Linked DNA regions of Diceros bicornis minor. The protein of the gene in region 1 interacts with the protein of each later gene in a biochemical or structural test. Links are inferred from orthologs where the notes say so. Each region holds a gene or a part of one and is shown on either strand. Other genes may lie near its edges.

The links.
Region 2: of the proteins of UBA1 (region 1) and UBE2R2, one has a biochemical effect on the other in vitro, tested with the Homo sapiens proteins (5 studies listed by BioGRID, with this or other methods). The link is inferred for Diceros bicornis minor from reciprocal best matches to the Homo sapiens genes UBA1 and UBE2R2.
Region 3: of the proteins of UBA1 (region 1) and UBE2C, one has a biochemical effect on the other in vitro, tested with the Homo sapiens proteins (5 studies listed by BioGRID, with this or other methods). The link is inferred for Diceros bicornis minor from reciprocal best matches to the Homo sapiens genes UBA1 and UBE2C.

What each region holds. Positions count from the first base shown.
Region 1 is NC_080781.1:40,990,817-41,001,627, forward strand, and holds the start of UBA1 (ubiquitin-like modifier-activating enzyme 1), read left to right. Parts: upstream 1-6,275; 5' UTR 6,276-6,373; intron 6,374-9,689; exon of another isoform or gene 9,690-9,860; intron 9,861-10,811. UniProt on the Homo sapiens protein: Catalyzes the first step in ubiquitin conjugation to mark cellular proteins for degradation through the ubiquitin-proteasome system.
Region 2 is NC_080761.1:53,485,099-53,494,960, reverse strand, and holds the start of UBE2R2 (ubiquitin-conjugating enzyme E2 R2), read right to left. Parts: upstream 4,115-9,862; 5' UTR 3,576-4,114; coding exon 3,399-3,575; intron 1-3,398. UniProt on the Homo sapiens protein: E2 ubiquitin-conjugating enzyme that accepts ubiquitin from an E1 ubiquitin-activating protein, and catalyzes its covalent attachment to other proteins by an E3 ubiquitin-protein ligase complex.
Region 3 is NC_080758.1:15,530,594-15,541,097, reverse strand, and holds UBE2C (ubiquitin-conjugating enzyme E2 C), read left to right. Parts: upstream 1-6,390; 5' UTR 6,391-6,435; coding exon 6,436-6,536; intron 6,537-7,079; coding exon 7,080-7,107; intron 7,108-7,835; coding exon 7,836-7,922; coding exon of another isoform or gene 7,923-7,931; intron 7,932-8,380; coding exon of another isoform or gene 8,381-8,478; intron 8,479-8,527; coding exon 8,528-8,732; intron 8,733-8,794; coding exon of another isoform or gene 8,795-8,838; coding exon 8,839-8,898; intron 8,899-9,373; coding exon 9,374-9,432; 3' UTR 9,433-9,626; downstream 9,627-10,504. Other genes in the region: DNTTIP1 (deoxynucleotidyltransferase terminal-interacting protein 1), read left to right, coding at 3,267-3,338, 4,935-4,990, 5,103-5,241. UniProt on the Homo sapiens protein: Accepts ubiquitin from the E1 complex and catalyzes its covalent attachment to other proteins. In vitro catalyzes 'Lys-11'- and 'Lys-48'-linked polyubiquitination.

The sequences.
Region 1 (10,811 bases):
TGCTTTGCAGATACTGCATTTTTTGCAAAACCCTCCACCAGCAAAAAGATTGGGGACTCATTGAAGGCTCAGATGATGGTTAGCATTTTTTAGCAATAAAGTATTTTTAATTAAGGTATGTACATTGCTTTTTTAGACATAATGCTATGGCACATTTAATAGACTGCAGTATGTTGTCAACATAACTTTTATGTGCACTGGGAAACCAAAACATTTGTGTGACTCGCTTTATTGCGGCGGTCTGGAACCAAACCCACAGTATCTCCGAGGTATGCCTGTACGTGTTTATGCAACAAGAAGGTGGAAGGGAGGTGGTGTAGGAAGAGCAATTGTCGCAAAGCCTTGTCCCTCATTTACTAGTTTGCATTGTGACATTGCCCTGAACCAGTTGTAGGAGGCGAGGTTAGAAAGAAGGGGGCCTCTAGAGGTGGAATGGTGCTGATCTGGGGTTTGGGGTGTTGCCCAGTGAGAGAGGGAGGGGATGTAGGAGAGGAATAGAAAGAGACCACGTGAAAGAACCTCAGTGAGGATGGGTGGCCTTTAGTGTGCGGGCACCCCTGCATTCCCTTCCTTCTTCCCATTCCCCAGAGGATGGTTCCTGGAACCCCACAACAAGGAGCCCTCACACATGGCTGGCACTAGTAAATGGTATAGCCACTCCGGAAAACTCTTTGGCTGTTTCATATAAAGCTTATGCTTACCCTGTAACCCAATAATTCCATTCTTAGCTATTTACCCCAAATAAATGCAAACATATGTCTACCAGAAGACATATGTATATTCATAGAAGCTGTATTCATAAAAGCCAAAAACTGGGAACAACCCAAACGTTCAAGAGGAGAATGGATAAATTATAGTAGATTTGTACAATGGAATACAACTCAGCAATAAAAAGGAACAAAATACTTATACAAACATCAACATGAATGACTCTCACAAACGTTGAGTGAAGCAAGTCAGACACAAAAGAGTATATACTGTATGATTCCATTTATGTGAAGTTCTCAGGCGAAACATATTTAGTAGAGTGCGGTGGAGGGGGGGAGGGTGTTATTCACAGGAAAGGGTTGCAAGGTAGCTTTCTGGAATAATGAAAATGTTCTATATCTTGACTAGGATGCTGGTCACACAGGTGTATACTTAGCTAAAAATTCAACAAGCTGAATAATTAAAATCTGAGCATTTTATTATATGTAAATTATACAAGAAATTGGAAAAAGATCACCAGAGCAAACCTCAATAAGAAGGAAGGAAATAATGAAGAGAACAGAAATAGATGAAATAGGGAGGGAAAAACAACAGATTAACAAAATCAAAAGCAGAATCTTAATTTTTGTTAAGAGGAAAATTAAGAGGAAAAACAGATCTCTAGCAAGACTGATCAGTTAAAGATAGAAGATGCAAACAAATCAAATACAAAATTAAATTTGTAGTTTAATTTTGTAGTAAATCTAGTACAGATGCGGGCCGGCCCCGTGGCTTAGCGGTTAAGTGCGCGCGCTCCGCCGCTGGCAGCCCAGGTTCGGATCCCGGGCGCGCACCAACACACCGCTTCTCCGGCCATGCTGAGGCCACATCCCACATACATCAACTAGAAGGATGTGCAACTACGACATACAACTATCTACTGGGGCTTTGGGGGGGAAAAAAGGAGGATTGGCAACAGATGTTAGCTCAGAGCTGGTCTTCCTCAGCAAAAAGAGGAGGATTAGCATGGATGTTAGCTCAGGGCTGATCTTCCTCACAAAAAAAAAAATCTTAGCTAAATGTAGCCACTAGTATATTTAGCAAATATATTTTGATCAGATAGAGTTTGTCCCAGGAATGCAAAATTGGGTCAACAGAAAAGCAATGTATGTAGTTCCCTACTAACAGACCAAAAGTAAACAATCTCAACCACAGAAAAAGCATTTGATAAGGTTCAAGAATCTGTGAATTCATACTTATATATATAAATTAATGGATAAAAGAATAAATGGAGGAGAAAAGAAATATCTACTTTACAATAGAATGTCAACTAACTACGGAACAGTGATAGAGTTAGAAAATCTATGGATGCTAAAACTAGTGGTGACACTTTGATGAGGAACAGGATATTTACATAGATCCAAAGTATCTCTCCACGAAATGCATGTTAGTTAATTCGAAAAGGAAAAACATTAATGTGGAGAAACCTGGCAGACACCATCCTAATGAAGGGAACAAAGTGAAAATTATCCATATTAAAATCATGAGCCCCCTGATAGGATGAAACAAAGAGACAGCATATCCAAGATGCAGAACCTGAAGCTAACCATGAAGAAACATCAGACAATGCCAAACTGAGGGACAGTCTACAAAATTCCAGGCTTATATTCTTCAAAAGCATCAAGGTCATAAAGGTCAAGGGAAGATTGAAGAACTGTTCCAGACTGAAGGAGACATGCCATTTGAGTGTTCAGATGTCACCTCCTTAATGAAGCCTGCCCCAGCTACCCCGTTTAAAATTCCAAACCCTCCCCCACCACCTTGTGACCCCTTCCTTGCATTACTTTTCTCCATAACACTTCTCAACGTCTAACGTACTATATATTTTCTTACTTTTCTATATTGTTTGTCTCCTTCACTAGAATGAAAGCTCCACGAGGGAAGGGACGTCTGTCTGCCTTGCTCACCACTGTGTCACCAATGCCTAGAATAGGGTTTGGCGCGTAGCAGACCTTGCAAGCATGAATAAATACACACACCACAGCTGTTCAAATTACTCTCATCCTCAAGACTCCATTTTTAAAAAAGGCTAATATATAAAGAGTTCCTAAAAATCCATAAGAAATACAACAACCCATTAGATAATGGATAAAGGACACGAACAGAAAATCCCCAGAAAGCAAGAACTGTAATACCTTTAACTCTATGAAGAGATGCCCAAGCTTACTCCTAATAAGAGAAACGCAAATTATAATTACACCGGATTGGCAAACAACCTAAGTCTTGACAATCTGCTCATTGAGGCTGTGAACCAGCAAGCACTCTCATACATGGCTGGAAGCAATGCAAAATGGTACAACTCTTGCCCCCACCGTCCACCTCCCTCCGCTTTTCCTGCTTCCCTACCTCCACAGGCTTTTGCTCAAGCTGTTTCCTCCAACTGGAATGCCCTTCCCTCTCACTCAGTAAAGTCCAAAGCCGGCCTCAATTACTCCCAATGATCCATTTGAAGGCAACCAATTCTTCAGAGAAGAACTTGGCCACACCTATGGCTTCAGTTGTCACCTCTGATGGTCCCCAAATCTGTATCTCCAGCCCAGACCTCCCTCCACCTCCTGAATTTTAGACCCAGTCCCCAACTGTTTACTCAACTGACACATACCAGACCTTGGACATCTAACAGGCATCTCAAATGTAATACATCCAAAACCAAATTCCCGATTTTGCCCCACATCTGCTCCTCCTGAAGTATTTCCCATGTCAGTGGATGACAACTCCATTCTTCCAGGTGCTCAGGCTAAAAATCTGGGGGTCAACTAGGACTACTCTCTATTTTTCATGCCCCATATCTGATCTCTTGGCAAATCCTGGCTTCTTTACCTTCAAAATCAACCCAAAGTCTAAACCCCCCGTCACCACTTCCACTTTCACCACCTGGGTCTGATCCTCTCATCATTTCCTGGACTCTTGCAGTGGCCTTTCCACTGGTTTTTCTGCTTCCACCTTTCCCCTTACAGTTTGTTCTCTCTCCACACAGAGCAGCCAGATTGTTCATTCTAAAATATAATTTAAGAAGGAGGGGGATAAACCCAGCACCACCGTCCATACCAGCCGCACCATGTCCTCAGCCTGCACAGCCACGGAGGCCGCAGCAGCGGGAGTTCCAGGGTCTCCCTTCCCCGCTCTAGTAAGCTGGGTCCGGGGCCTCGGTGGTGCTCCCGATGTCCCTCACCCACCCCTGAAGATCCCAGGTGGGCGAGGGAATAGTCAGAGAGATCACAATCTTTCAGCTAATTTATTTTACTCTGATAATTGGCTGAATGTAACAGAGGAACTAACGTCTAACGACAAGACGAGAATCTTGAATGTCCAGACCAGGCTCAAGGCCGCCAAGCACATCAGCTGGAGAGTGGTGCTGCAGGGGGCTCCCTCGACGTTGAGATCCGGGGCGGGGCGCTGCCCGAGGGCAGCGAGGACAGCTTCGAGGTTCTTCCCGAGTTTGCCGAGGAGCAGCCCACGCTGACCGCGTCTTCATTTGCTTCCACAAGAGCCGTGATGACAGAGCCGCCTTGCTCCGTACCTTCAGCTTTCTGGGCTTTGAGATTGTGAGGCCAGGGCATCCCCTTGTCCCCAAGAGACCCGAAGCTTGCTTCATGGCCTACACCTTCGACAGAGTCCTCCGGCGCGGAGTAGTGGAGACCTGCGTCCTCGCACCTCACCGCCCGGAGCTCGATCAACCACAGTGCCCCCTGTCGCGCTGTGCCGCTCTGTGCCACACTGTGCGGGTGGCGTGACCAGCGCTGCGCTGGGTCGGGTGTGAGGCCTGCTCCTCTGCTGGGTGTGTCTGCGTGTTGTAATTGTGCAAATAAACGCTCACTCCAAATTAGCATATATTTCTTGAAGTTTAATGTTCTGTTTGTGATACTGAAGTATTTGCTTTAATTCTAAATAAAAGTTTATATTTTACTTTTTTATTGCTGGTTTAAGATGATTCAGATTACCCTCGTCTTTTGAGGGGGAGTTTCTTATCTGAAGTCTTTTGGAAACAGTCTTAGATCTCTTAACTTGGAAAGATAGGTAATAATCGGCCCTTCTAGTGCTCTCAAAAATCCGAATAAAAGCGATTACACCGCCAAAAAAATATATATATATAATATAATTTACATAATGTGACTCCCCTGCTTAAAATCCTTTTACGGCTTCCCACAGATCTTAGAATGAAAACCAAACGTCTCAGCCTGGCTTACAATGCCTTACTTGACATGGCCTCAGATCTCATCTCCCAGTGCTCTCCCTTCCTCACTCCTCTCCAACTACACAGACTTCTGTGCTCTTCCTCAAACCTGCCAAGAACTTCCAACCTCAAGGCTTTGCACCTGATGTTCCCTCTGTCTGGAATGCTTTCCCCACTCCACGCGTGGCTCGCTTCCTCACTTTTCACATGCCTCCTCCTCAGAGAGGCATTCGCTGACTACTTTACATGGGGAATCAGGAGAGGTCTCTCTGAGGTGAGGCAAAGGATACAGAAGAAGGAAAAGACCTGAGGGAAGAGTGTTCTAGAGTACTGCAAGGATAGTTTCCTTGCTATGTTCTTTGCTATGCTCCCAGTCCCCTGCACTTAGTAGACACTCAATAAATCTTTTTCAAATGAACAGCTTTGGAGGTTGTTGACAGGATATGAGATACAGAATTTGGGATAAGGTGACAAAGGCATTTTGTGTTAAACACCTTTGCTCAAACATCACCTTCTCAGCGAGGCCTTCCTTGACCACACTATCTAAAAATGCAACCTGTCCCCACAGATTTCCCCTTACCTTGTTCTATTTTTCTCCATAGCGTTTGACAGTTATCGCATATATACAATACATATTTACGTATATATTTAATCATATATTCACATATGAATATAGAATATACACAGTGTATTTAATAAGACATTTATTATATACAGATGTAAATTATTTACATATTGACACTAGCTATCATGTTATGTAAACTATGTAGTGTTTATATGTACATTTTGTTTTATATAATTTATATTATAGAGTCACATATATTATAATACATATGTATATGTGAAACTACAATCTTTAGTTATTTGTTGTATTTATGGTCTGTCTCTCTCGCTAGAATGTCAGCTCCGTGAGGGAAAGGAAGAATCCCTAGCACCGGTCCCACAGCTTGAGCTCCACAAATGTCAAATAAATGAACTCCTTTGGCCTTCTAAGCCTCAGCCTTGCCATCTGTAGGATGGGTGTGCCTTTCCATCTGGAGGTACCCACCATGTTCCGCTCCCTTTTCCTATCCCTCCAGAGCTCAGCTCCTGGAATTCCACAGTCCAGGTTTACATTTTCCTATACCCTGGGCGCTGATGCCCACCACGTGCACCAGGCACTGGTCAGACAGGACTACCGCCCCCAGCATGCCTCGCGCGTTTGGGAAGTACCACAACCTGTAGGGGTGTCTGGGTCTGACATGGGCGCTGACGGCGCGGGAGCAGGGGCGGGCTCCCCTCTAGCTTAGCATCTGTGGTACATCCCAAACCGGGGCCCTCCAAGGCCCCGCGCTTCCGAGCTCCGCGCAAACTCTGGCGCTTCTTGTACGACGGAGGTGGTTTTCTCTTCCGTTGCCCCGTGGCTTCGGCTCATCTCCAGCAGGAAGGCGAGGCTTCCGCCCGGCGCAGGGGGTGAGCTGGAGCGCGGTGCCCCCAAACCCCTGGACAGCATTTGAGGGAGGGGGCTCAATTTCGGGGATTCCCTAATGGCCATATTTGGAGGCTCTGGGCCTGGGGTGGCATTTAGGGGTGGCTATTTTTGAGGGTACCCTTAGGAAGTGGTGTTTGGGGTCTCTGGGGTGGGATTTGGGAATCTGTTTTAGGAGATACCTCGGAGGCAGCGTTTATATACCCCTCGGAAGCAGAGTTTATACCCCTAGGAGACAGGGTTTAGGGGGATGTTCGGAGAGACCCTTAGGGTCCGTGTGTGAGTACTTTGTCCATGGGGCAGGATTCGAGATGCTCCCCAAGGGGAGAGGTGAAGTTTGGGGTTCCTGAAGCCAAGATGGAATTTTGAGAGCGCTTGTTTCATGAAAGGTCCTGGTGACAGTGGGAACGTTCAGGACCGACGTGGCATTGTGGAGGTATCTGTGGCCTTTGTGACCTCAGGTTCAGTGACGAGGTCCCCCCGCGCTTGGGTACTTGGGGCGGGAAGACTGGACACGTCTGGGCCCACACGTTTCTAGGGAGAGGAGCCGCCGGCCCAGGCTGTGGAAGGGACGCCGGAGCCCAATGTGCTAGGCTCGTCCCTAGGGGACCGGGTGCCACCCGGCCTTCTTGGGCCGCGGCTTTATTCATTATTCATGAGGAGGTGGGGCTGTTGAGGAAGCCTATTTTTGCCTCTTTCGCACCTGGTCCGCTGGAAGTGTCGGCTTGTGAATTATTCACGAGGGGGCGGATCAGCATGCTGAAAGGGTGTGCTGAGGGGCGTTCTGCATTCTGCCAGGCAAACTAGAGCTCACTGATTAATCGTAAAGGTGAGTAGCGCCCCGAGCTTTCTGTGGCTTTTCCAGGGGTGTTGTGCGTAATTCATGAGAGGTGTAGCTTTTACAGCTTCATCTGCGTGATCCGCTGTTAGTCTTCCCCTGTGGGTTCCAGGATTTAAGCCTTGCGTCTAGCAAAGGATTGAGGCCTCGTGTATTGTTCATTCCTTATGGCCCAGTAATCCCAGATTATCAACAAAGGCTCTAGATTCAAATCCCATTTATCCTTCCCAGCTGCGTGATCTTTGGCAAATCCTTCTGTGAGCCTTAAAAATGGGTATGGGCATAATGATAATCAGATTAGTTTTCACTCATTTAGCACTTTATTAGCCCATTTAATCCCCACAACAATCCTAGGAGGTAGGTTATTATTACCCATTTTATAGATGAGGAAACTGGGACACCAGGCGGCTAAATAATTTGCCTAAGGTTACTCACAGTCAGTGAGTCAGTCTAGTTCCAGAGTCTGTAGTCTTTTTAATTTTTTAATTTATTTTTGCTGAGGAAGATTCGCCCTGAGCTAACTCGGTGCCAGTCTTCCTCTGTTTTTTTATTTATGAGTCGCTGCCACAGCGTGGCTGAGGAGTGGTGTAGGTCCGTGCTGGTGATCCCAACCCGAGAACCAGGCCGCCGAAGCCGAATGCGCGGAATTTAAGCGCTACACCACAGGGCCCGCCCCCAGAGTCTGTAGTCTTAATCAAATGCCATAATGCCCCCTCCTCCCAATTTAATGGTACTACTACTAAAGTTAGTCATATAGCACTATTAGAACAGGCACTGTTCTAAGCCCTTTCTACATATTTACTCGTTTAAACTCCATCACAAGGTAAGTTACTATTGTTCTCAATTTATGGGTGGGGAAACAGTGGCCCAGAGAAGTGAAATGTCTGGCTCCAGGTCACACAGCTAGTCATCCGTGGATGGAAATGATTTTTGTGAGGGTTTAAGAACTCTCTAAGGAGATCACCTTTGAGCTGAGACCTGAAGGAAAAGAAGGAACCCATTTCCTGTTCTGCATTCCTGAGGTCAGTGGCACAATGCATGTAAAGGACACACTACAGGAGCCACGACATAGTGGTGTTAGCGATCTATTAATGTGATCTATTATTATTATTCGACAGAAATGTATTGGGCGCTTACTGTGTGCCTTGGGCTTTGATATACAGTTGTATCTCTGGTGACATGGTAGTCTACCCTACCTGTTTAATGGCCATTGGTGGCCTTAGCATTCTGTTTTCCAGTATCCTTCTGGGATGGTGTTTCAAGGCATTACTTTTAAAATAATGCCCCAAGTTGGGGGTTTCTCTAGGGGCTGGGTATACCCGCACCTATAACTAATTTTATATTAATATAAATATATATTTACATATTACCTTTATAGTAATATATAATACTTAAAAAATTTAACAGTGCCTTGTGCCAGCACTGCTCTGAGCTCATTCCATAATTCACATTCTCTGATTTTCATAACACATTTTGCCTTTACAAGGTGGATGAGTTCAATTACTATACCCATTTTACGGTTGTGGAAACAGAGGCACCTGCCAAAGGCATGTAGTGAGTCTGGATTTGGTTGGACCAAGGCAGCCTTGGTTCATGTGCAGTTAGTCAGAGGTGGGGAGGAGGCAGCTGCACTTCCCCTGGGTTTCCCCTGTGGCTCTGCAGCATCGTCTTTCATTTTTCATGAACAGGAAGGCGTGGCCATGTTGCCTTGGCTGGAGTACCATAATCCCTACTTGCTGGGCAGGGCTGCCTTGAGTGTTTCTGTCCATCCAGCCTGGTGCATAATTCATATTAACTGGGTGGGACCTTGCTTAACCTCTTTGAGTTTCCAGGTTGAGCTGCGGCAACAGTATTATTCATTATTCATGAGCCAGGGGAGTATTTTCCCTGTAGTAGCCCTATTTCCCTGCTTAGAGGGTATGAGATGCAGCAATAGGTGGACCTATCCCTTTTTTTCCAGCCCACCGAGACTTATGCATTATTCATGATAAGTGGCCTTGGTCTCCTTGGCTTCCCTGCTGCTGCAAGATTATTCATTATTTATGAGCAGTTGGGCGTGGCTTCTATGTTTTAACCTTGGCTTTCTGGTTTCGGGGTGTTAGTCTAGCAACCACCCGGCCTCATGCATAATTCATGATTAGGAATTGTGGTCTTGATGTCCTTTCTTGGTTTCCATGGCAGCTTGGCTGCAACAGTGTATTCATTATTCACGTTCCATGGGGCGTGGCCTTACGTTGTTTTATCTGTTTTCCTAGTTGCCGCTGTAGTAGCCACCAGGTGGAGCTATTCTTCTTTGAATGAGTCACAGACAGGGAGGGACCATCATACATGATTCATGAATGGGCGCGGCCTGCCTGCATCCGGGTTTCTGGGGGTGGGGCCCAAGGTTTTGTTCCGGCCCCGGGCTCAGCGGCCGCCATCTTGTGTGGCGGTGGAGGTGAAGGAGGTGGCAGGGACGAGCGCAGCCACTACGGTCGGGGGAGGAGAAGGCGGCGGAGGCGGAGGCGGCGGAGGCGGCGGAGATTCTAGGCAGCCCAGGAGGCGGGGAGGAGGAGAAGGAGGAGGGTGGCGGCCGGGCTTGGCTTCGGCTCCTAGAGGAGTTGGCGGCGGCGCGACCCGGGGAACCGGCATTGGTAACAAATGGCCTTTCTTAACGCCTTGGCCAGGGCAGGGATTTCGGGAAGCTTTGGAGGGTCCTGGGCCGGCGCTGGACCAGGCTGATGTTGGGGCGGGCCGTGGTGACTTGGACTAGGGGATCGGTGGGGGGGTGGGGAGGCAGATCTTGGGGCGGGGCCGACACTTCCCATCCGGGACCAACCTAGTCTCTCGGAAATCTGACCTTGTGGTCAGACCCCCCAGGGTCTGCTTTCAGAGACTCAGGCCCAATATCCCTAGTCAGGGACCTGACCCTGTCCTGAACCTTATATTGCAGATCAGTACTTTCCCCAGTCACTGATAGAGACTTATGGGATCGACATTTCTGGTCAAAGCCCCCCACCAATGTATGCCGTTAAAGACCTTCCCCAGACTCTCCCTTCAGACACCCCCAGTCCTTCAGTAGTTGCCCTCGCAGCTTCCAAGCGGGGCCAGACCCCCGGGAGAGTCCATGCTGTCTTCATTTCTGAAAGAGAGTCTATTCTGGCATCTTTTTTCACACACACTATCTGCCCTCAGAGCGTCCAAGGGGAGTAAACCCTGTGAAAGGCCATTTGGGCCTGGCCTCCTTGTCAGAGACCCCTTCTCCACATTTCTGAGGTCTCCCAGCCCCACCCTGGTCCTAGCATCTTCCATCAAAAATGCCTCTGGGCCCAGCGTTTCTATATAGAGGGCCTCCTCAGCATTTACCTTTAGAGACGCCTTTAATTCCTAGAATCTGTCCTTAGAGACTTCTTCTGTTTTAAGGGAATGCCCCCTTTTTCATGGTCCCAGTATTCTCTTCAGAGACTACCTTTTGCAGGTCTCAGTATCTTCCCCATCAGATACCCCTAACCCCCAGTATCTCCCCTCAGAGCCTCCCAGGGGACCAGATACCAGGGAGGAACAGTTTGGACACATAATACTCCATCAGAGATCCCCCTGCCAGC
Region 2 (9,862 bases), on another chromosome or scaffold:
ACTTGATCAACAATTCTTCCAGTAACATAAAATTCCAACTTGCTCCACAGTAGCAAATTAAGTTCAGAGGTGTTCTTGGTGTTCTAAGCCCTCTCCTACTTTGTATTTTGTAATGATTGACCCCTAGAGGAAAAATTCAAAGTAGCAAAGAAATTCAGTTGGTAAGTCAGTAAGATCAAGAAACTGGACAAAAAGATAACAAGGCCAAAAAAAAAGTTTACAATACGCAGAAAAAAACTCAAGAAACTACCTTAGCCTATCCTACATCCATATCACCCCCCGACCAACACTAAGAATCACATGGATTTGAGATATTTAAAAAACAAAAGCAGGATGAATCAAAAAAAACATTTGTGGGGGCCGGCCCCGTGGCTTAGCGGTTAAGTGCGCGCACTCCACTACTGGAGGCCCGGGGTTTGGATCCCGGGCGCACACCGATGTACTGCTTGTGCGGCCATGCTGAGGCCGTGTCCCACATACAGCAACTAGAAGGATGTGCAACTATGACATACAACTATCTACCGGGGCTTTGGGGAGAAAAAGGGAAAAAAAAGAAAAGGAGGAAGACTGGCAATAGATGTTAGCTCAGGGCCGGTCTTCCTCAGCAAAAAGAGGAGGATTGGCATGGATGTTAGCTCAGGGCTGATCTTCCTCAAAAAAAAAAAAAAATGTGAAATACAGGTCGCACAAGTCTCTACCACAACAGATGCCATAGATAAAACAGACTGGAGCCAACTATTTCATGGTGAAAAAGATCAGTTAGAAGTCTATTAATACGTAAAAGTTAAAGGAGTTACAATAAAAAAAATTTAAAGAATGACTGGCAGTCCCGCTGCCTTCAGAAACTATTACGCAAAATAAAGAAGAGTTTAACTTGAAAATAAATTACACTAAATGTTCGAGGACTATCATTTGATAAGAGAGAATAAACAGTGGTAGAGAAAGGTCTGTGCCAACTTTTAACTGCAGCTGTAGTGGAACACACTAAAAGCCTTGTTTTAAAACAAAAGCAGTGAAATAAAAAACAATGGTTTTAAACCTATCACCAGTGTTAACTGCTCATGACTATATATTTGCCTTTTTCCAGTGAAGGACCTTTGGGATAAAGGCCATACAATAAGGAAAAAAGTAGGAGAAAGTGAAATTGAACAAAATTTTCTCACAAGACTAAAACATAAAACCTGTTTAAGAATTTTCACACATTTTTTTTTTACAAGTCACAAAGGTAAAAACACTCAAAGATTAAGAAATCTAACACATACAACAAAACTGGAGATTATTCTTTTTAAATAGGACTGAAATTAAAAACCATTTAATTTAGCAACTAGAAGGATGTGCAACTATGACATACAACTATCTACTGGGGCTTTGGGGGAAAAATAAATAAAATTATAAAAAAAAAAAAAACCATTTAATTTAAATCATGTATGCTACAGGGAATCTTCCTTCCATACTACCTATTCCAAACTGAGGGTTCTCCACACTCCTTTCCCAGTTATTTAAGCAAAAATATTACAATTTGCAACGTATTATTTTCTTTTACATACAGTTTTTGTTTTGTTTTGTTTTTAACAAAATGCATTGGAGTGAGATTATTCTAACTGGTACCCGTTTACCTTGACTATCGATTGTCCCAAACAATACTTTTTGGAAATTAAACTTGATTTCACTCAAGTTACCCAGTATATTATGCTAAATAATGCTTTGCTAGAAAAGTTATTACATAAATTCCATTTTGTGCAACTAATTTTTCCAGTATCTATAAATGAAAATTTATACTTCACAAGAAAACGTTCCTCAACATGGACACAGGAATACCTTCTCCAATTTGTCACTAATAACTTGTACGCTTCCTTAGTGACTTTAAACACCTGCATCTGAAAAGTACAGTGTATGGAGACCACAAAAGATGAAGCAGACAGTGTAAGCATACTCTTACACAATATTCTAAAAACATGCTTTTACTAGGTATTCAGTGACTATCTCTGGCGTGAATATTAAACATTCCCCTATCAATTCTTCACATTTTCCACAAAGCTGACCCAATTTCAAGCCTGAAACTGAGGCTTCTACCTTTAGGAGGGTGGAAAACCAAAGTAATTGGGTAGTCCTAAAAATACACATCATAACTACATGACTAAGATATTCATTTAAAACTTTTGCCGAGATAGCCCCTCCCTTCAAAACAAACTAAGACTGACTCACTGCTCTACTTCGCTTAATTTTGGAAATAAAAAAATTAAATTAAATGGATTCTTAAGCACCCGTTTCCTAAGTCTCTGCCCCCACCACTACCATTTAAAACATTCAACCTTCAATCTGTGATTCGTCCCTTCAAAAATGGTAAAATAAAAACAAAAACAAAATCCTCAATGTCTCCAAGTTATCTACCTTGGAACAACAACAACAAAAAAGTCACTGGATTTAGGAATGGTAATAACCACTGCTGTAAAATTATGAAAAACAACAGAAACAATGTCTATGGTCGCTGTCTTAGGAGCCGTCCTACTCAGTGAAACCGCCTCACCGCCGATGATACTTTCCATCTGTGAGACCACCCCATCTGCTCGAGTTAACCACCTGAGCAAAAGGTTTCAATTTTATCTCCCTAAAGTGGGAAACTACCAATCTCCCTACATACCATGTTCCACCCTCTGTGGATATTTCTACACGTACAGAAAAAAAAAAAAAGGCAGTAAAGTTGGTGGCAGGGTGAGGACAAAGGGCATTTTGAAACACCACTGAAGTAAACAGAGAACGGGGACAGAAGGAGGGCTAAATCAAATGACGGTCCCTCCAGTGGATCAGGGCAGGAAAACGCAGGCCCCCTTGTTCGCCAGCCCCAGGGTCCTAGTCTTCCTTGCCGCCCACTGGAATGCAAACTTGGAACCGCCACCACGCCAGAAGCCCATCAAACCCTCAAAATGTCAGGTCACTAGGCGGCCTCTGGAATGACAGCCCAGTACCCCTCCCCCACCCCCACCCCCCCAAAAAAGAAAGACCCAATCCAGTAAGTGCAGGTCACTCTGCCCTCTGGGGCAGTTCCAGCCGGCGCAGGGATGGTTCTCGTGGGGGACGCGAGAGGACAGACCGACCACCTCTCTCCCCGCACACCCCCAGCTGGGGAAACAAACAAAGACAGCCCTCCTCCTCCTCCTCTGGGAGCCGCTGCCCTCGCCCCAGAGGCTTTCCTCGTTCCCGGGGCCGTCTGGCCTCCCGCCCCCGCCCCCCTGACAAAGAAAAGGCCCCGGTGAGCCAGGCCTTCCTGCCTCCGCGGACGGGTGAGGGGGCTGCCGAGGCGAGCCCCCCCACTCGCGCTCCCCCTCGGCCCGAAAACTGCCGAGAGCGGGGGGAGCGGGGCCTCGGTGGAAGCCTGGGCCGGGAGGGCGTGGGGGTACCTTGAAGTAGCCGCCTTCGTAGAGGGTGTTCGGGGGTCCGAAGATGGCCACCTCCCAGTTGTAGAGGTCGGACTCGTCCACCAGGGTGATCCGGAAGCCCTCCACCGGCTCCTCCTGCAGGGACTTCAGCTCGAGCATCAGGGCCTTCTGCGAGCTGGTCATCTGCTGCTGGGCCATCGCGGCGGCGGCGGCGGCGGCGCCGGGCCGGCCCCAGTCCTCACGCACCGGCCGGGCCGGACCAGGCCCCTCCCCTCCGCTCGCCCTCGGCCGGGCCGCCCCGCGCCCCTGTCTTCACACGCCCGGCGGGCCGGACCAGGCCCAGACGGCCCGTGGGCCGGCCCAGGTCCTCCTCACCCTCGACGCGGGCCGGGCCGGGCCGGGCCCCCCTCCTCACACTCGGGCCGGGCGGGGGAGGGGCTGAGGGAGTAGGGCGAATCCGCTCCGGGTCCCGAGCCTCCCCCCCCCGGGAGGGGGCCTCAACCCTGGGGGGGGGGAGAGGAGGTGGAGGCGGAGGACGGCGGCGGAGGGCCGGCGATGGTGAGGGGAGGGGGCTGGGCCGGCCCGGGGCGCCGCGCTCGCTCGCCCTCTGGTTCTCCTCGGGTGCCGCCGGGGCCGAAGGGCGCGCGGGGCCGAAGGGCGGGGGAGCGCTGCGCGCGGGGGTCTCGCGGCGGTGGTGGCGGCTGCGCGGGGGGAGGGGCGACGGCGGAGGAGGAGGAGAGGAGCGAGAGCGCCTCGCGCCGCGGGAGCGACGGAGCTGAGAAGAAGCAGGAGGGAGGGCGAGAGGGAGGAGGGGCGCGCGCCGGCACGGAGGGAGGGAGGGCGGCTCTCGGCGGCGGGGGCCGACGCGCGTGCGCGTGCGCGCCCCTCCCTCCTCCGCCCTCCTCGCCCTCCCCCGCCCTCCTCGCCCTCCTCCTCCTCCTCCCTCCCCGCCTCCACTCCGCCGCCCCGCGCGGTGGCGGCGCTTTGTGACGCCGGCGCGTGTCCCCCGCCCTTAAAGGGCCAAGCGTCTCTGGGGGCCGAGGGTGGACGCAAGGGATGCCCTTGGCCGCAAATGACGGTTGTGCAGTTCGACGCCTTGGTTCCCAAAACCGGGCCGGGAAGGGACGTCTGGTCCTAGAGTTGTCAGCGGTCCCCTCACTCACCGTGTGCATCTACAGGCTTCCGCAGGCATCCTCCACGAGCCCCAGTCCCTTGCAGGCCCTCCTCGTGACACACAGTCCGCCTCCCTGCACTTAGTAGGTGCTTAACAAGGATGTGCTGAGAATGTGGGTCTTATCGGTGGGAACAAGCGTCCCGGCATCTTTCCTCAGGTTCGGCCCTCTCGCCAGTGCGTCCTTGGAGGGCAGCGTGTCACCCTCTTAGGGGGATGGGGTGGAGGGCAGTTTCCCATCTGAGAAATGGGGAAGGCAGATGGACCAGCCTCTACTTCCCTTCTTTACTGCAAAGAGGAAGTTGTGGGAAATAGAGAAATAATAATACAGACTGAGCCTGGGTTCCTCGCCCTTTTCTGTGTGATTTGGGGCAAGTGCTCTGGCTATCCCTCAGTTTGCCCATTTGTAAAATGAAGTACTGTGGTTTAACTTTGACCCTCTACAGATCCTTTCAGCTTGAAAGTCCAACCTGGAACTGAGGGACTTTTAAGATAATCATGACTGAAGTGAGATGTGGCAACAGTCTTCACTCGCATGACTTAAAGTACCCCTTTTTCTGGCCAACCCGTGGCTCAGCGGTTAAGTGCTCGCACTCTGCTGCTGGCGGCCCCGGGTTCGGATCCCCGGCGCGTGCTGACGCACTGCTTCTCCGGCCATGCTGAGGCTGAGTCCCGCATACAGCAACTAGAAGGATGTGCAACTATGACATACAACTATCTACTGGGGCTTTGGGGGAAAAAATAAATAAATAAAATTATAAAATACCCCTTTCTCCAGCTGGCCCGTGGCTTAGTGGTTAAGTGCGCGCGCTCCGCTACTGGTGGCCCAGGTTCGGATCCCGGGCCCTCTGTGTGGGCCATGCTCAGGCTGCGTCCCACATACAGCAACTAGAAGGATGTGCAACTATGACATACAACTGTCTACTGGGGCTTCGGGGAAAAAAAAGGAGGAGGATTGGCAATAGATGTTAGCTCAGAGCCGGTCTTCCTCAGCAAAAAAAGAGGATTATCATGGATGTTAGCTCAGGCTTCCTCACAAAAAGTAAAAAAAAAAAAAAAATACCCCTTTCTCTTAGGAAGGCACGTCCTATGATAACTGCCTAAACATTTCCTAGAAAAGCCAGAATACTGTGAGAGTTCCACACTTAGAATTTTGGGAATCAGTAAGATCCTTAGTTCCAACCCTGGCTCCACTATTTACATTACATTACCTCTTCCTTTTTCATCAGCTTCTATAAAAGAGGGTTAATTATACCTAACAAGCAATTGTAAAGATTAAATGAGATCCTCTATATACAATGTTTATCACAATGACTGGCACATGGTCAGTGATCCATAAATAGGAACTTTAAAGAAAGAAAAAAATTTTACAGGCATGGCTGTATTCTAGATACTATCCCCTCCACTTTTTTAATAGACTTTTTTTTTTAAACGTTGAATTGAGAATTTATTTCAGGGCCGGCCCCGTGGCTTAGCGGTTAAGTGCGTGCGCTCCGCTACTGGCGGCCTGGGTTCGGATCCCGGGCGCGCACGACGCACCGCTTGTCAGGCCATGCTGAGGTGAGTCCCACGTACAGCAGCTAGCAGGATGTGCAACTATGACATACAACTATCTACTGGGGCTTTGGTGGGGAAAAGGGGAAAAAAAATGAGGAGGATTGGCAGTGGATGTTAGCTCAGGGCTGACCTTCCTCACACACACACAAAAAAGAGAGAATATATTTCAAAATGGTGTCTCCCCAAAGAGTGGCGGGTGCCCATTGAAGGTGGTTAAGATGTTGTGTGGTACCTGAATCAGCGTCCACATGATGGAATCCCACATACAAGATGGATTCCCTCTGTCTCTCTGATGCTTCACCAAGAAAGTCTCCATTGGGCCCTGGCGTGACTTTAATGCCTCTCTAGTGCTTTCTTCCTTCCCACATCAGAGAGACAGAGCACCAGCTTCAGGTGTGTAGGACTTTTTTTTTTTTTTTTACAACAGTTTTAGATTTATAGAAAAATTGAGAAGATAGTACAGAGAGTTCCCATATACCTGGCACCCAGTTTTCTCTATTTTAACATCTTACCCTAGTACAGTATATTTATTACAATTAATGGACCAATATTGATATATTATTATTAGCTACAGTCTTTACTCACATTTCCTTAGTTTTTACCTACTGTCCTTTTTCTGTTCCAGGATCCCTTTCTGGATACCACACTATATTTAGTTTTCATGTTTTGTTAGGCTCCTCTCGACTGTGGCAGTTTCTTAGACTTTCCTTGTCTTTGATGACTTTGACAGTTTTGAAGAGTGCTAGTCAGTGGAGCTGGCTCCATAGCCTAATGGTTGGGTTTGGTGCGCTCTGCTTCAGCAGCCTGGTTCAGTTCCCAGGAACGGACCTACACCACTCATCAGCAGCCATGCTGTGGTGGCAACCCACATACAAAATAGGGGAAGGTTGGCATGGATGCTAGCTCAGGGCGAATCTTCCTCAAGCAAAAAGAGGAAGATTGGCAATAGATGTTAGCTCAGGGTGAATCTTCCTCAGCAAAAACAAAACAAAAAAAAAAGAGTACTAGTCAAGTATGTTGTAGGACGTCCCTTAATTAGGATTTGTGATGTTTTTCTCATGATTCAATTGGGGTTATAGGTTTTTGAGGGGAAGATCACAGCAGTAAAATGAAATTTTCATCACATCACAAGGGCACATAATATCAACATAACTTATCAGTGTCGCTATTGACCTCAGTCACCTGGCTGAGGTAGTGTGTCAGATTTCTCCACTGTAAAGTTACTCTTTTTACCTCCTTTTTATACTGTACTCTTTAGAAGAAGTCACTATGCACAATCCACACTGAAGGAGCCCCTTCATCTTTTTGTTGTTATTTTTTCTCAGAGATGAGGTCTCAATGTTTTAAAGAATCATTCCCTAGTTCCCAATTCTACTCTCTTGGTCTTGAGACCAAACTCCACTGGAATTAGAGCTCACTTCAGAGGAGGAGGAGTGTCTTAATCAATGCAGCCTCTCCTCCCAAAATGATGGTGTATGACTGGTTCTGACTTCCCCTCCTCCACCACTCAATTTAGGGATAAGAAGATTGCTGACCTGGAAATGTGGGAGATGATGTTGACACCTTTAATAACAAGGCTGTGAGTAGACAAATAGGCAGAAAGTTCATCTTCAAAGCATTTCACCCACATAAACTCATCACAGCCCCAGCCTAACTCAGAAGATGGTAGATCCCTAGCCTAATCCACTGGAACATACATCTGGCACCCAGATCCGAAGCTGCTGCCTGGGCTCAAATCAACTCACGAACTCATTCTAAATATCCACAATGGCCATGGCCCTAAGGTGGGTGGCTAATAAGCATATACCTGTCTGGGAGTTCTCACAGCCTAGTGTGTTAATTAGTTGTATACTTAAGGCTCTCCATTATCAGATCTGAGGAACTAGAATTCCACAGAACTTGTCTCATACCTTTTATCCTAGCAGGTGAAACATTGTTTATTAGTAAGTTGCAACTGTGTCTTATTCATCCCTGGATCCTCAGCAACCAGCATATTGTCTGACACAAAGTAGACACTAAGTAATTGTTCTTATGGGCTCACAGCCAAGGGCAGGAAGACAATCAGTAACAACAACAACAAAATCACAAATTGAATCCCATCCTCCACCCCAATGTCTAACAGGATCTCTCAGACACATAGTAGGTGCTCAAGGTTATAATTCCATAAATACAATAAGTCCTGTTCATAACCATATACGAGCTACTACAATGTTTGGCACATACCAGTAGGTACTCAAAACATATTTATCAAAAGAATGAATGGCAGAAACAGCTTCCTAGAGCTTTCCCATATTGTTTCATAATGACAGGTAGAGATTGACTTGACTGATTGGTGCCCTCTGGTGGTAAAGAAAACAGGACCTTTACCTTCAGTCTCTGGCATCACCTGGTACTCTCCAAACAGGGCTTTTCTGAAGAATCAATTACTTTTCTTCCAAACAGAAAAGATATGGAAATCTTGGTAAAATAAATGAGGGATGGGTATTTACTTTAAAAGGTTAATTCTGACCTTATAGAATGACTCTTTTTAAGGGGCCAACATTTTTTTCATTCTGCACGTGTTAACACATGTAGGGCTTGAATAGTGCTCTTAAGGAGTCATAATCTTCCTTTAACATTAATAGCTAACATTTGCTGTGCATCAGTATGTGACAGGCTCTTTACATGCAGTATCCTATTTAATTCTCACAAAAATCCATGACATGGTCATTACCAGAGTATCTATTTTACTAAGTATAATAAGGCTTAGAGAGGTTAAGAAAGTTACCCAAGGTCACCCAGTGAGTAAATGACAGAAGTTAAACCTTGGACATCCCACTTTAGTGTGACCGCTCTTAACCACCATGCTATAATGTTCCTAGTGTAATGTGCCCACAACAATCTGTACATATCATATCCCCCCCAGTGCTATATTGTACTGCAATTATTTGTTTACACCTTTCTCCCAGCCTCTTGAGGTGCTCTTAAGAAGGAGCCATTCAGGGCCAGCCCCGTGGCTTAGTGGTTAAGTGAGCGTGCTCCACTGCTGGTGACCCGGGTTCGGATCCCGGGTGTGCACCAACGCACCGCTTCTCTGGCCATGCTGAGGCCGAGTCCCACATACAGCAACTACAAGGATGTGCAGCTATGACATACAACTATCTACTGGGGCTTTGGGGGGAAAAATAAATAAATAAATAAAATCTTTAAAAAAAAAAAAACAAGGAGCCATTCATCCATTCAACAAATATTTATTGAGTGCCTGCTATGTGACAGGCCCTGTGCTAAATGCCAAGGATACAGTAATGAATGAGACAGAAATGATTGGATCCTGCCCTCATGGAGCTTACATTCTAGTGGCTGGGACAGAAACAGACAAAAACAAGTAATTAGTAGACAAATAGTATCATCGCAAGTTTTGGTGAGTACTAATGAAGGTAATTAAAGGGGGTTGCAATTTTAAATAGAGGCAGGGCAGGGGCAGAAGAAACCTCTGTGAGGCTACATTTTTTTTTTCTAGATGTTAAGGAAATTTATTCAAAAATCCAAGGAATGGAATTGTGCACTTTATACATTAATCTTATTTAATCCAATATATTATGTTAAATTATTTTATATCTACTTTTTCCACTCGGCTACGAATTTTTGGGGTATAAATATTATGTTTTATCTTTTCCTCCAGTTCTAAGCACAATGTCTATTATACAAATGTTTGTTGCATTAAATTAAACAAAATAATTGGCTTTTATAAACCACATACTAAATCACATTATAGATT
Region 3 (10,504 bases), on another chromosome or scaffold:
CTTAAATCAATTTCTATTTTTGTTTTTTAATTTTTTTTTTAATTTATTTATTTTTCCCCCCAAAGCCCCAGTAGATAGTTGTATGTCATAGCTGCACATCCTTCTAGTTGCTGTATGTGGGACGCGGCCTCAGCATGGCTGGAGAAGTGGTGCGTTGGTGTGCGCCCGGAATCCGAACCCAGCAGCGGAGCACGCGCACTTAACCGCTAAGCCACGGGGCCGGCCCATGAATTTCTATTTTATCAGTCACAAAAGCATCCAAATATATTAGAAAAATAGTAGTCTGTGTGTGTTCAAGACGTGTTTTTTTGCACTTGTATGTAAAGTTTGGTGCCTCTTGCCAAAACCACACAGCCCCTTTGGGGTCCCAGAATCATGGGCTCTGTCTACTACATTCTGTGCAAGTTCAAGTTCTTTGAAGGGCAGACCTGCTTCCTCTACTTTTTCAGTTTTATTTTCTGGGATTCCCAACACCTAGACAATTTCACTACTTGCTACTTCTTCATTTTTCTCTCTTAGTGTCTTCACTCTTATTGTTCCCTTTACCTGGATGACCTTCCTCCCTCACCCTTATGACTGCCTGACTATTCTTTAAGATGCACGTCCTCCAAGAGCCTTGCTTGCATTATCCCCCCAATGGATGTGCTCTTGGACCTACTTTGACTTCCTGTTGCACAATGGTTAAGAGTATAGTTTCAGTCCCCATTCCATGACCTATCCATGACCTTGGGCAAGTGGCTCCATATTTCTGAGCTTGTTTTGTCATCTATAAAATGGAGATGATACAGACCAATCACTTAGGGTTGGCAGAATTACGAGAGAGTGCAGTGAAGCACCCAGCACAATGCCTGGTGCGTGGCACGTGGCACGGGCTCGGTAAACGTTCGTCACTATTACCAGCAGACTTGCCCAATTCTAGACCCACCGTTTGTAATAAACCCGCAACCCGCACTCTCATTACCACTGGATATTATCTCTCATTTTAATCTTTCCAGTCTGATAAGTGGAGGGAAAATGTTTTTGTTGTTTTACTTTGCTTTTAATTCTCTATTGGTGAGGATAAGCATCATTTCATTCATTCAGAATCTATCTGTATTTCTTCTGTAAAGTGCCTGTTATATCTTTTGCCCATTTTTCTGTCATTCAAAAGGCATTATTCAAATTTTTATTTTCCTTTTTATCTTTTTTGAATTATAGAAATCATATATAAACTCATTCTTGTAAAAAAATTCAAACAATACACAGAAGCCAATAGGGAACAAAACAAAGTTCCCCTTCACCCTTGACCCTGACTCTCCTCCCCTAGAGGTCACCAACGACAACAGTGGTGGCATCCGTCAGTCCCCTCCCTATGCACTTCTGTGTGTGTGTCCATCCTTTGTCCTTTAGTGATATTTTATGTTACTGAGATCATACTATATATATTGTTCTCTGATTTTATTTTTTTCACCCAAACTTCATTCATTCATTGAACAAATACTTATCGAGTGCTGAGCCTCCTCAAAGTGCTAGAGATAAAGGAGTGAACAAAGCAGACACACAAACTCCGTGTCGTCACGGAGCTTACTTGTACTGCAGGGCAAACTGTGGCCTCTAGGCCAAATCCAACCTGCAGCCTATTTTTGTCCAACTCAGGGTTTTTAGATTTTTAAAGGGTGATGTAAAAAAAAAAAGAAAGAAAAATACGTGACAGAGATGTGTGTGGCCGGAAAAGCCTAAAATATTTACTAACTGGCCCTTTACAGAAAAAGTGTGCTGACCACTATAAATCTAGTGCATAATATCCTTGAGGGCCGGCCCCGTGGCTTAGCGGTTAAGTGCTCGCACTCCGCTGCTGGCAGCCTGGGTTCGGATCCCGGGCACGCACCGACGCACTGCTTCTCCGGCCATGCTGAGGCCACATCCCACATACAGCAACTAGAAGGATGTGCAACTGTGACATACAACTATCTACTGGGGCTTTGGGGGAAAAATAAATAAGTAAAATTATAAAAAATATATATATATCCTTGAGATTTGTCCATGTTATTAAATTAAATTGTCTCCCTCATTTTATGTTTAACAGCTATATAGAATTCATACAAGAGATATTCCATAATTTATTTCATCGCTCCCCTATTAATGGATATTTAAGTTTTTTCCAACAGGTTTGCTATTATAAACAGTGCTGCACCAAACATCCTTGTGTTTGAGTGATTCTAAAGGATAAATCCCTGGAAATGGGATTGCTGGATCAGAAATTTTAAAACTTTGACTGATACTTATATTACTTGGGAAATAAAATGATTATTTAAACTCAAAGAGTAGTAACCGTATAGCCCAGATTTCCCAACTCGGCCTATTTTATAAAACCTACCTTTATTAAGCACTTATTATGTGTCAGATACTATATTTAGCACTTTTTAACCACTATCTCATTTATTTTTAACAACAACCCTGTAAGATAAGTATTAATCCTCTCTGTTTTACAAATGAAGAAACTGAGTCTCAAGGAAATTATTGCCCAGGTTTACACCGTCAATAAGTGGCAGAGGGGGCCGGCCCAGTGGCACAAGTGGTTAAGCGCGCACGCTCCGCTGTGGCAGCCCGGTGGCCCAGGGTTCGCAGGTTCGGATCCCGGGCGCACACCGACACACTGCTTGTCAAGCCATGCTGTGGCGGCGTCCCATATAAAGTGGAGGAAGATGGGCACGGATATTAGCCCAGGGCCAGTCTTCCTCAGCAAAAAGAGGAGGGTTGGCAGATGTTAGCTCAGGGCTGATCTTCCTCACAAAAAAATAAAATAAAATAAGTGGCAGAAACTGGAATTTAAACCTTGTTTGTCTAATTCCAAAGCCAGGTTCTTAACCGTGATGCTATACCACATCCCCCCAGATCATGAAGTGTCCTGATTTTTGTTTTAGAAAATACGGTCACTATAATAATCACATGTGTTGTAAGCTACCGCAGACCATTATTTCAAAGAGGGGTAGAGCTCTAAAATAAGAGTCACCAGTCTGACCAGTTGCCAGAGATGCTGTGTTTCGAGAAAAGAAGGGGGTGGGGATTAGAGGTGTACTAAACCTCTGGGAATTGGGTCCCATACCCTGGCCTCTTGGGCTCGGCTCCACTAGCTCTGAAGAGGTTGGTGAGCCCACTACAGCCACCAGGCTAGGACAAGGTCTTGTTGGTCAGAACTGCTCAAGGGCCAAGAGTATGCTCTGGGACCAAATGAGAAAAGCCCCTTGCGCCAAACTAATGCCTGTCTGTGACTTCATCCCTCACAGTATGCAGCTGACCCCCAGGACAAGCACTGGCTGGCTGAGCAGCATCACATGCGGGCAACAGGGGGGAAGATGGTAAGCATTGTTCGCACGTGCCACTGCCAAAGACCCATCCAGCCCAGGGACCAGGGTTCTGGCTATTGGTGGCAGCTTACCTCCAAATCTGAGAGACTCTCAAAGCTCTCCAGGATGAATGTGGACAGGGAGACTTGTATGGTTAGAGAGGGCCCATTCCTTCATGCTGAAGAGCAGGCTGTAATCCCTGGATTCCCTTCCCTGTCCCTAGGTCTCCCACACAGCACCCCCTCGCCCTACCACGTCATCCCTCCTATTTAGATTGTATTAGCTTTGCATAAGAATGACAGGTACAAAACACACTTAACACTACTTTTCTCTTGTGTGCCATTAACAGATTTCACTCATAGGTCATAACACTCTTCCACCAGACACAGCTATAGAGTCTTTTCTCAACACAGTACTCCAGGCGGCACCCCTCATCCATAGGGGTTAATACATGCAATGAAACTTGTTTGCCACATTTGGCAGCAGCTTCCAGAATCACCTCTACTTAAAGAGTTCTCAGCTCATATCAAGCAACAACCCTAGGAAAATCATTGTTGCATGTGTTCTAAAACTGTTGTGGAGGGCTTTGTCCATCACATGCGGTGTCCCCCAGCTGAGGACTCAACTTAGTGCCACCGCTGGGACTGTTAAAAATTCAGTGGCCTTGCAAACCAGTATGCCCTCTCCTTTCTGGCAGGGAAAGCTATCTTTTATTTTACTACTCTACTTATGCCTACACTCTTTGTTTGAAAAAAGATTTCAGGGAACTTACCATTGATACAGAAAATACAACATAATATAAATAAGAAATAGGGGGAAAAAGGAAAGGCAGGATCTAAAATTAAGCCACAAACAAGACTAGTTTTAAAAAAGTGTTTTTCTAATTGCTGACCTGGGAGACGAGTGTACTTCTATGGGTTCACACAAATTCAGCTCCAGGACCCTCTCAGGGACACCTGATCTGTTACATAGTTCACAATGCCCGTAAGATGAAGACAGTCAGATTACTCAAGGGACACACAATTATTCCTGACCCTAAAACTAGACAGAAGTGTCTTCCACAGAAGACTTGCTCATGTGAGGAACAACATCCCCCGTATGGTAAGCTCACAAGAGGGCTCTCTCCCACTGCAGATCATGGCATTGTGTCAAAGCCATTCTGCAGACCCCAGGCAATACAGCCTAGTTAGTAGACAGCCGTGCAGTTTATCACGTTTTCCCTTTTGCCACAAAGTTCAAAACCAAATCATCTTAGCTCCTAGAGTTAACATATGGCTTCCTCCTCCTGATTTCCTGTTTCCATGTATATTTTGCTAGCTCTCTTGCCATTTTATTTTAAGCTACTTCAGGGTCCTTTTTCAGAAGAGGAGGAGGCTGTAAATAATTTAGTCACCAGTCCCCACTCCCCCACCAATAAAGTTTCTATTTGAGTGAAAGATTGTCTCAGGGAACAATTCCCCAGTCTCCCTACTAACTCTCCCCTACTAAATTGTAACTATGCCCACCTCCCTTCCAGCCCTTAGAGTAAGCAGATGTTTAATAAAATGTTATTAAGTTGAACTGAAATGAATCACAGGCAATGACTACTCTCCTTTGCTCCTGCCCCAGGCCTACCTCCTCATTGAGGAGGACATCCGGGACCTCGCTGCCAGCGATGACTACAGGTAAAACCAGTGATCTGTCTGCTACCTTTCCCCCTGCCTCACAGTAGTCCCTGGGATGAGCCTGGGCCTATATCCTCCTTTGCTGCAACTTTCTTCCTCATTTCTGTTCCAGAGGATGTTTGGACCTAAAGTTAGAGGAGCTGAAATCCTTTGTCCTACCCTCCTGGATGGTTGAGAAGATGCGAAAGTACATGGAGACACTACGGACAGAGAATGAGCATCGTGCTGTTGAAGCACCTCCACAGACCTGAAGCCATGTCCCCTGGCTACATTTGGCAGCCTTCCTCTGAAGCCCTCTTACCCACGTGGCTGAGGCCACCACTGGGATGGATCTCAGCAGCATTAAGCTGTGCCTGGGCTAGTTTGTAGTGACTCACTGCAGAGCGCTCCCAGACTGGCATGTAGTTCTACATTTGTAAAGTTATTGGGATAGGAAGCAATTAAAGAGTTTGTAATAAACACAGATGGTGAGCCTGCTGTGCCGTCTGCCTTGTAGGGGCTGACAAAACATCAAGGGTTCTAGAAGAGGTGGATATAGGAAACCAGGACCATGTGCCCCTCCCCCATCCCAGGGTAGACCCAGGAAAGTCCCTCTGCCCCGTGCACATCTGCTTCATGAGACAAAGGTGGGAACACCATGTACCTTGCCAACCTTCCCTGTCCCTCTTTCTCATTTCCTTCCATACCCAACTAAGGTATGGAAGTAGCAGAATGTGCGTGCTGGCACCATAGGGGGTTGATGACAGACCATATGAAAAATGTGGAGAGGCTTTTATTACCCCCATTTTACAGGTTAAAACACTAAATGATGTTCCTAAGGCCACAGCAAACCGTTGGAGAGGCAGCACATGGACCTGTTTTCTAATAGGGAGTCTCCCGCTCTGGCCATCAGCCTCTAGTTTTTCCCCTCGCATGAATTTTCAGACACTTAGGGCCCTAATAAAGATGTTCAAGATCTTATAACGGGGGGGGGGGGGGGGGGGGGGCGGGGTTTCCGGTTTGAGGAAAGGGTACCAGTGCTGGGCGATTCCCCTGCGAGTAGGGATCCTGTCTGGGCGTGCCTCGTGTTCCCGGCAGTTCTGAGGCGTTTGACCTAAAGGGGCTCATCCCACGTGGACTTTTTCTTGGCCCTTTAATGGTTGGCGTTTTCCAAAGGCCACCAATCTGCTACAGACGCATTAGTTAATGGCGGCCTCATCTGCCAATCGCCCCTCAGAAGCAAGATTCCGCCGTCCAATAGTGATGCGCCGGTGGGTGGGTGGGTCTAGCAGTTGCGTGGTGACAGAGCGCTGCGGCGCGCCCCATTGGCTGGATCAAACCCAAGCGGGCCGCTGATTGGCCCGCGCTGCCGGAGAGTTACAATTCAAACGCGGGCGGCCGGGTCCGCAGCCCTGCAGTTGCAGCGGTGTTCTCCGAGTTCCTGTCTCCCCGCCAGCGCCGCGCGGATGGCCTCCCAGAACCGCGACCCAGCCGCCGCCAGCGTCGCCGCCGCCCGTAAAGGAGCCGAGCCCAGTGGGGGCGCCGCCCGTGGCCCTGTGGGCAAAAGGTGAGTGATGCAGGGGTCACAGCCTCCGGGCCTGGCACGACCTGAGCAGTGGGGCCCAGAGCGAAGACTTCCGGGACCCCCACCTCCTCCTGGAGCGGGTGAGATCTGGGAGGTGGGGGGACACGCCAAGCGCTTGGGCCGCTCTTAGAGACCCTGCCAAGGAGGACGGAAGGGGTAGTCATGCTGCCAGGATCCTCCTCGGGTGAGCCAACATGAAGATGCGCCGGGGACCCTCGGTGGCTTGGCGGGGGCCAGAGGAGAGGGAAAATTGAGATCCGGCACGGAGACAGACGCCAGAGGAGCAGTAGGGGTTAACAACACGCCAGAACCGTCCGGCGGGAGCCTGGAATCAGGGAGGGTGAGGACTCAATAAAATCCTCCTATGGAAATGGCCATGAGGAGTCCCCAGCTGAATCTGACCTCTCAGGGTAGAGAAATGTCCCCATGACAACTGCTCCAGAGAGACTGGGGTGGGAGGAGATGCATCCCCCGAAGCCTTGGCCCATCCAGACTCCCAGGTGACCCCAAATGCTCTTTTTGCAGGCTACAGCAGGAGCTGATGACTCTCATGGTGAGTGACTACCTGCCCAGATCCCCAAGTAGTTGGTCCACCCTCCCACCTTCCACTCACTTATCAGTAGCCTCCTTTCCTACGTCAGGCTCTTTGCCAGACATGGGGGTAAAAAGATGAGTCCAGTTTGCTCTTTTCTGGGTTGAAGTTAATATACCTCACCTACACCTTTTCTTCCAGCAGCCTCTACTCCCAATCCCATCCCCCCACAGTGAAGTTTTCTCCAATACAGTTCCCAGAAGCCATACAGGCCTCCCCGCTGTCCTGCCCTGGCCCTACTTCCCTGCCCTAAGATTTACCCACACCCAACTCTCCACCCTTCTTAGTATTTCTAGTCCTGTCATATCTTGGAATGACTCCTTCCTAGATGACCTTTTCTACATTAACCCTGAATATTCAACTCAAGTTGAATGCCCATATTGTATATCTCTCTAGTCTGTGAATAGTGTCTGGGCTTTGTACATAACGGGCACTCAATAGCATGCTGAATTGAATTCCCAGCAACCAACAAGATTATGGGTACATGATCCCAGTACTCCCCCCCAGAGGCACATGTACAGCCCCAAGAGTCTAACCACATCCTCAGAGAAGCCTACCAATTTGGTCTGGTTGCTTTATTTTGAATCAAAAAGTGATGAGATTAAGGGGAAGGGGTTCACCCACTGACCCCCATTGCTGTTCTCCAAAGTGTACTCTGCAGCCCAGCAGGTGTTGTGTTTCCTCCCCAGATGTCTGGCGACAAAGGAATTTCTGCCTTCCCTGAATCAGACAACCTTTTCAAATGGGTGGGGACCATCCATGGAGCAGCTGGCACAGTAAGTGTAGTGTTGGTGACTTTGCTGGGTCTGGGGAGAGGTAGGAGGTGAGATCCAAGCGCTAGATCTGCTTCTGTCTTTAGCCTGGCAGGACGCTCCCCTGCGTCTGTTCTCCTGCTCTGAGCCAGTGGCCCTGGTCTCTCCCTCTGTACAGTAAGAAGGTGGATTTAAAGCAGGGCTCTCCATCTTAGATGCATAGAGGGGGCCAGACAGCACGGAAAAGAATGGAAGACCAGTGAGGACTTTGGCCAATGGGAGGGCACAAGTCTCAAGATGGCAGCTTCCCATTGCTGCACATCTGGTTTAAGATGAGTCAGAAATCTAGATCTACGTCTCCTAATTTTTACATGTTAGCAACTAATGATCTAACTGGACTAAAGCACAGCTGTGGTAGCCCTCAGGATGCTAATTTACAACCTTAGACCAGGGATCACTGATGTCCCCCAGATAAGAGAGAGAGCACCAGAACCAGTGTAAGACTTTGTCTTCTGTCAAGTCCCAGACAAACTTCAAGGTCCTGGCCAAGCCCCTTATGCGGGCTTGGGTTGGGATATGAGCCTCAGGGTGGGGAAGCTTACTCCCCGCCTCTACTTCCCCACCGCCAGGTATACGAAGACCTGAGGTATAAGCTCTCCCTGGAGTTCCCCAGTGGCTACCCTTACAACGCGCCCACCGTGAAGTTCCTCACACCCTGCTACCACCCCAACGTGGACACCCAGGGTAACATCTGCCTGGACATCCTGAAGGACAAGTGGTCTGCCCTGTATGACGTCAGGACCATCCTGCTCTCCATCCAGAGCCTGCTAGGAGGTGACTTCTGAGACCAGCCCCTCCCCTGCAACCTAGGAACCTGTCAGGACTCCCGGGGCCAGCCTCTTCTACCCCCTGACCATTCTCTTTTTCTCCCCACCCACAGAACCCAACATTGATAGCCCTTTGAACACACATGCTGCTGAGCTCTGGAAAAACCCCACAGGTGGGTCCTTTGTCCTTCTCGGGCACAGGGTGATCCCTCCCCAGTCTTCAAGGCTCCCTCAAACAAAAGGATTCCAGTGACTTGGGAATGTGTCCTGAGGACTGGGTCTGGAGGGGGCTCGGGGTTGGGTGTCAAGCCACATAACCCAGTTCTTCCTCTGCCCTGGTGATTCTGGTTTGCCTGTGTGCTATAAAATCAGAAAATTATCCCTAATGTGGAAAACATTAAGGTAGGTTGAGGGGCTTTTTAAGCAGAAGGCAGCCTTGTGCAAATGACTTGCTACTAAGTCTCCCCAGTCTCACTGGCAGCAGGGCCCATCCAGGAGACCTGACCGAGTGGGCAGCAGAGGGGGAATCTGTTGTGCTGGGAACACCCCTCAGATTCCCCCCACCTGTGCATCCCTGGTCAAGCTGCCCTCTTGCCCACCTTAACTCCTGTCCCCAACGCTCACCAAGACCTGCCTGTTCTCTTCCAGCCTTTAAGAAGTACCTGCAAGAAACCTATTCAAAGCAGGTCTCCAGCCAAGAGCCCTGACCCGGGCTGCCCAGCCTCTCCTTGTGCTGTCTTTTTATTTTTTCCGTAGATGGTCTGTCTGTGCTTTCCTTGATTTCTCATAGGACTCTGTATCTTAAGCTGTGGTGTCATTTTTGTTTTGTTTCTGTTTTTTAAGTTAAGTCTCTGGTCGAGCCCTCGTGATGAATATATTAAATAAATACATTTTGTTTTTGTTTTTGTTTTTACAAATTGCCGCCTTGTAGTTACCCTAGGGTTGGAAGTGCTCAGGGTGGGCAGAGGTCAGGCTTAGCATCTGGGCTCTTGCCCTGCTCCTGTCTCCAGGGAGTAGAAGCAGCTGATAGGCTGTAGGGCCAAGCCAGTGGGGTGACTAGGATTTGTTCCCTTGTGATCTTACTTATTTTATGACTCTGCATCTGTTTCCTTGTCCATAAGATGGGTGTGACAATAATGCCTGTTTCTGTGGAGTTGTGACATGCACCAGGAATGTTAGAGAATATTGGAGCTGCCCCAGCTGTGTTGCAGATGAGGCTGAACCAGACCCTAGGCTGAAACCGCTATTGCTGTGGAAAGGGTGTGTGTGTGTGTGTTGGAGGAGGTTGGGAGGGGAGGACCAGCCACCCTTCTGACAGTAGATGTTCTGGCCCTGAAGGAGGACAAAGAAGGCACAGGTCACCCTGCACAGGCCCAGGGTCTGGGGTGACAACAGGAAAGCCCCTTCCTTGTCGGAGCCCTCAGGACTGAGCTCTCAACTCGCCCCTCATCCCAGGTCCCCCACAGATGGCTCCACACTCCAAGGGGGGTACATTCACCTGCTCCATCTCCACCAGCAGTGCCTCCAGTTGCTGCACCCACTGGCCCAGGCCCCCAGCCCCTGAAGCCATCTTTCCACTGGCCCCGACCTTTGGGCCCCTGGGAAGAAACCCTGTGCTGACCAACTGTGTCCCAGCTGGGGGAAGAGCAGGCTGAGGTGATGGGCTCGGCTCAGGTCCTGCAGGAAGACCTCCAAGGTGGACAAACAGCACCCAGGTGTGCGAGGAGGAGGTTAACTACTGTTATCAACAGCCTGGTGAGCAATGTGGTGGCCTGAGTT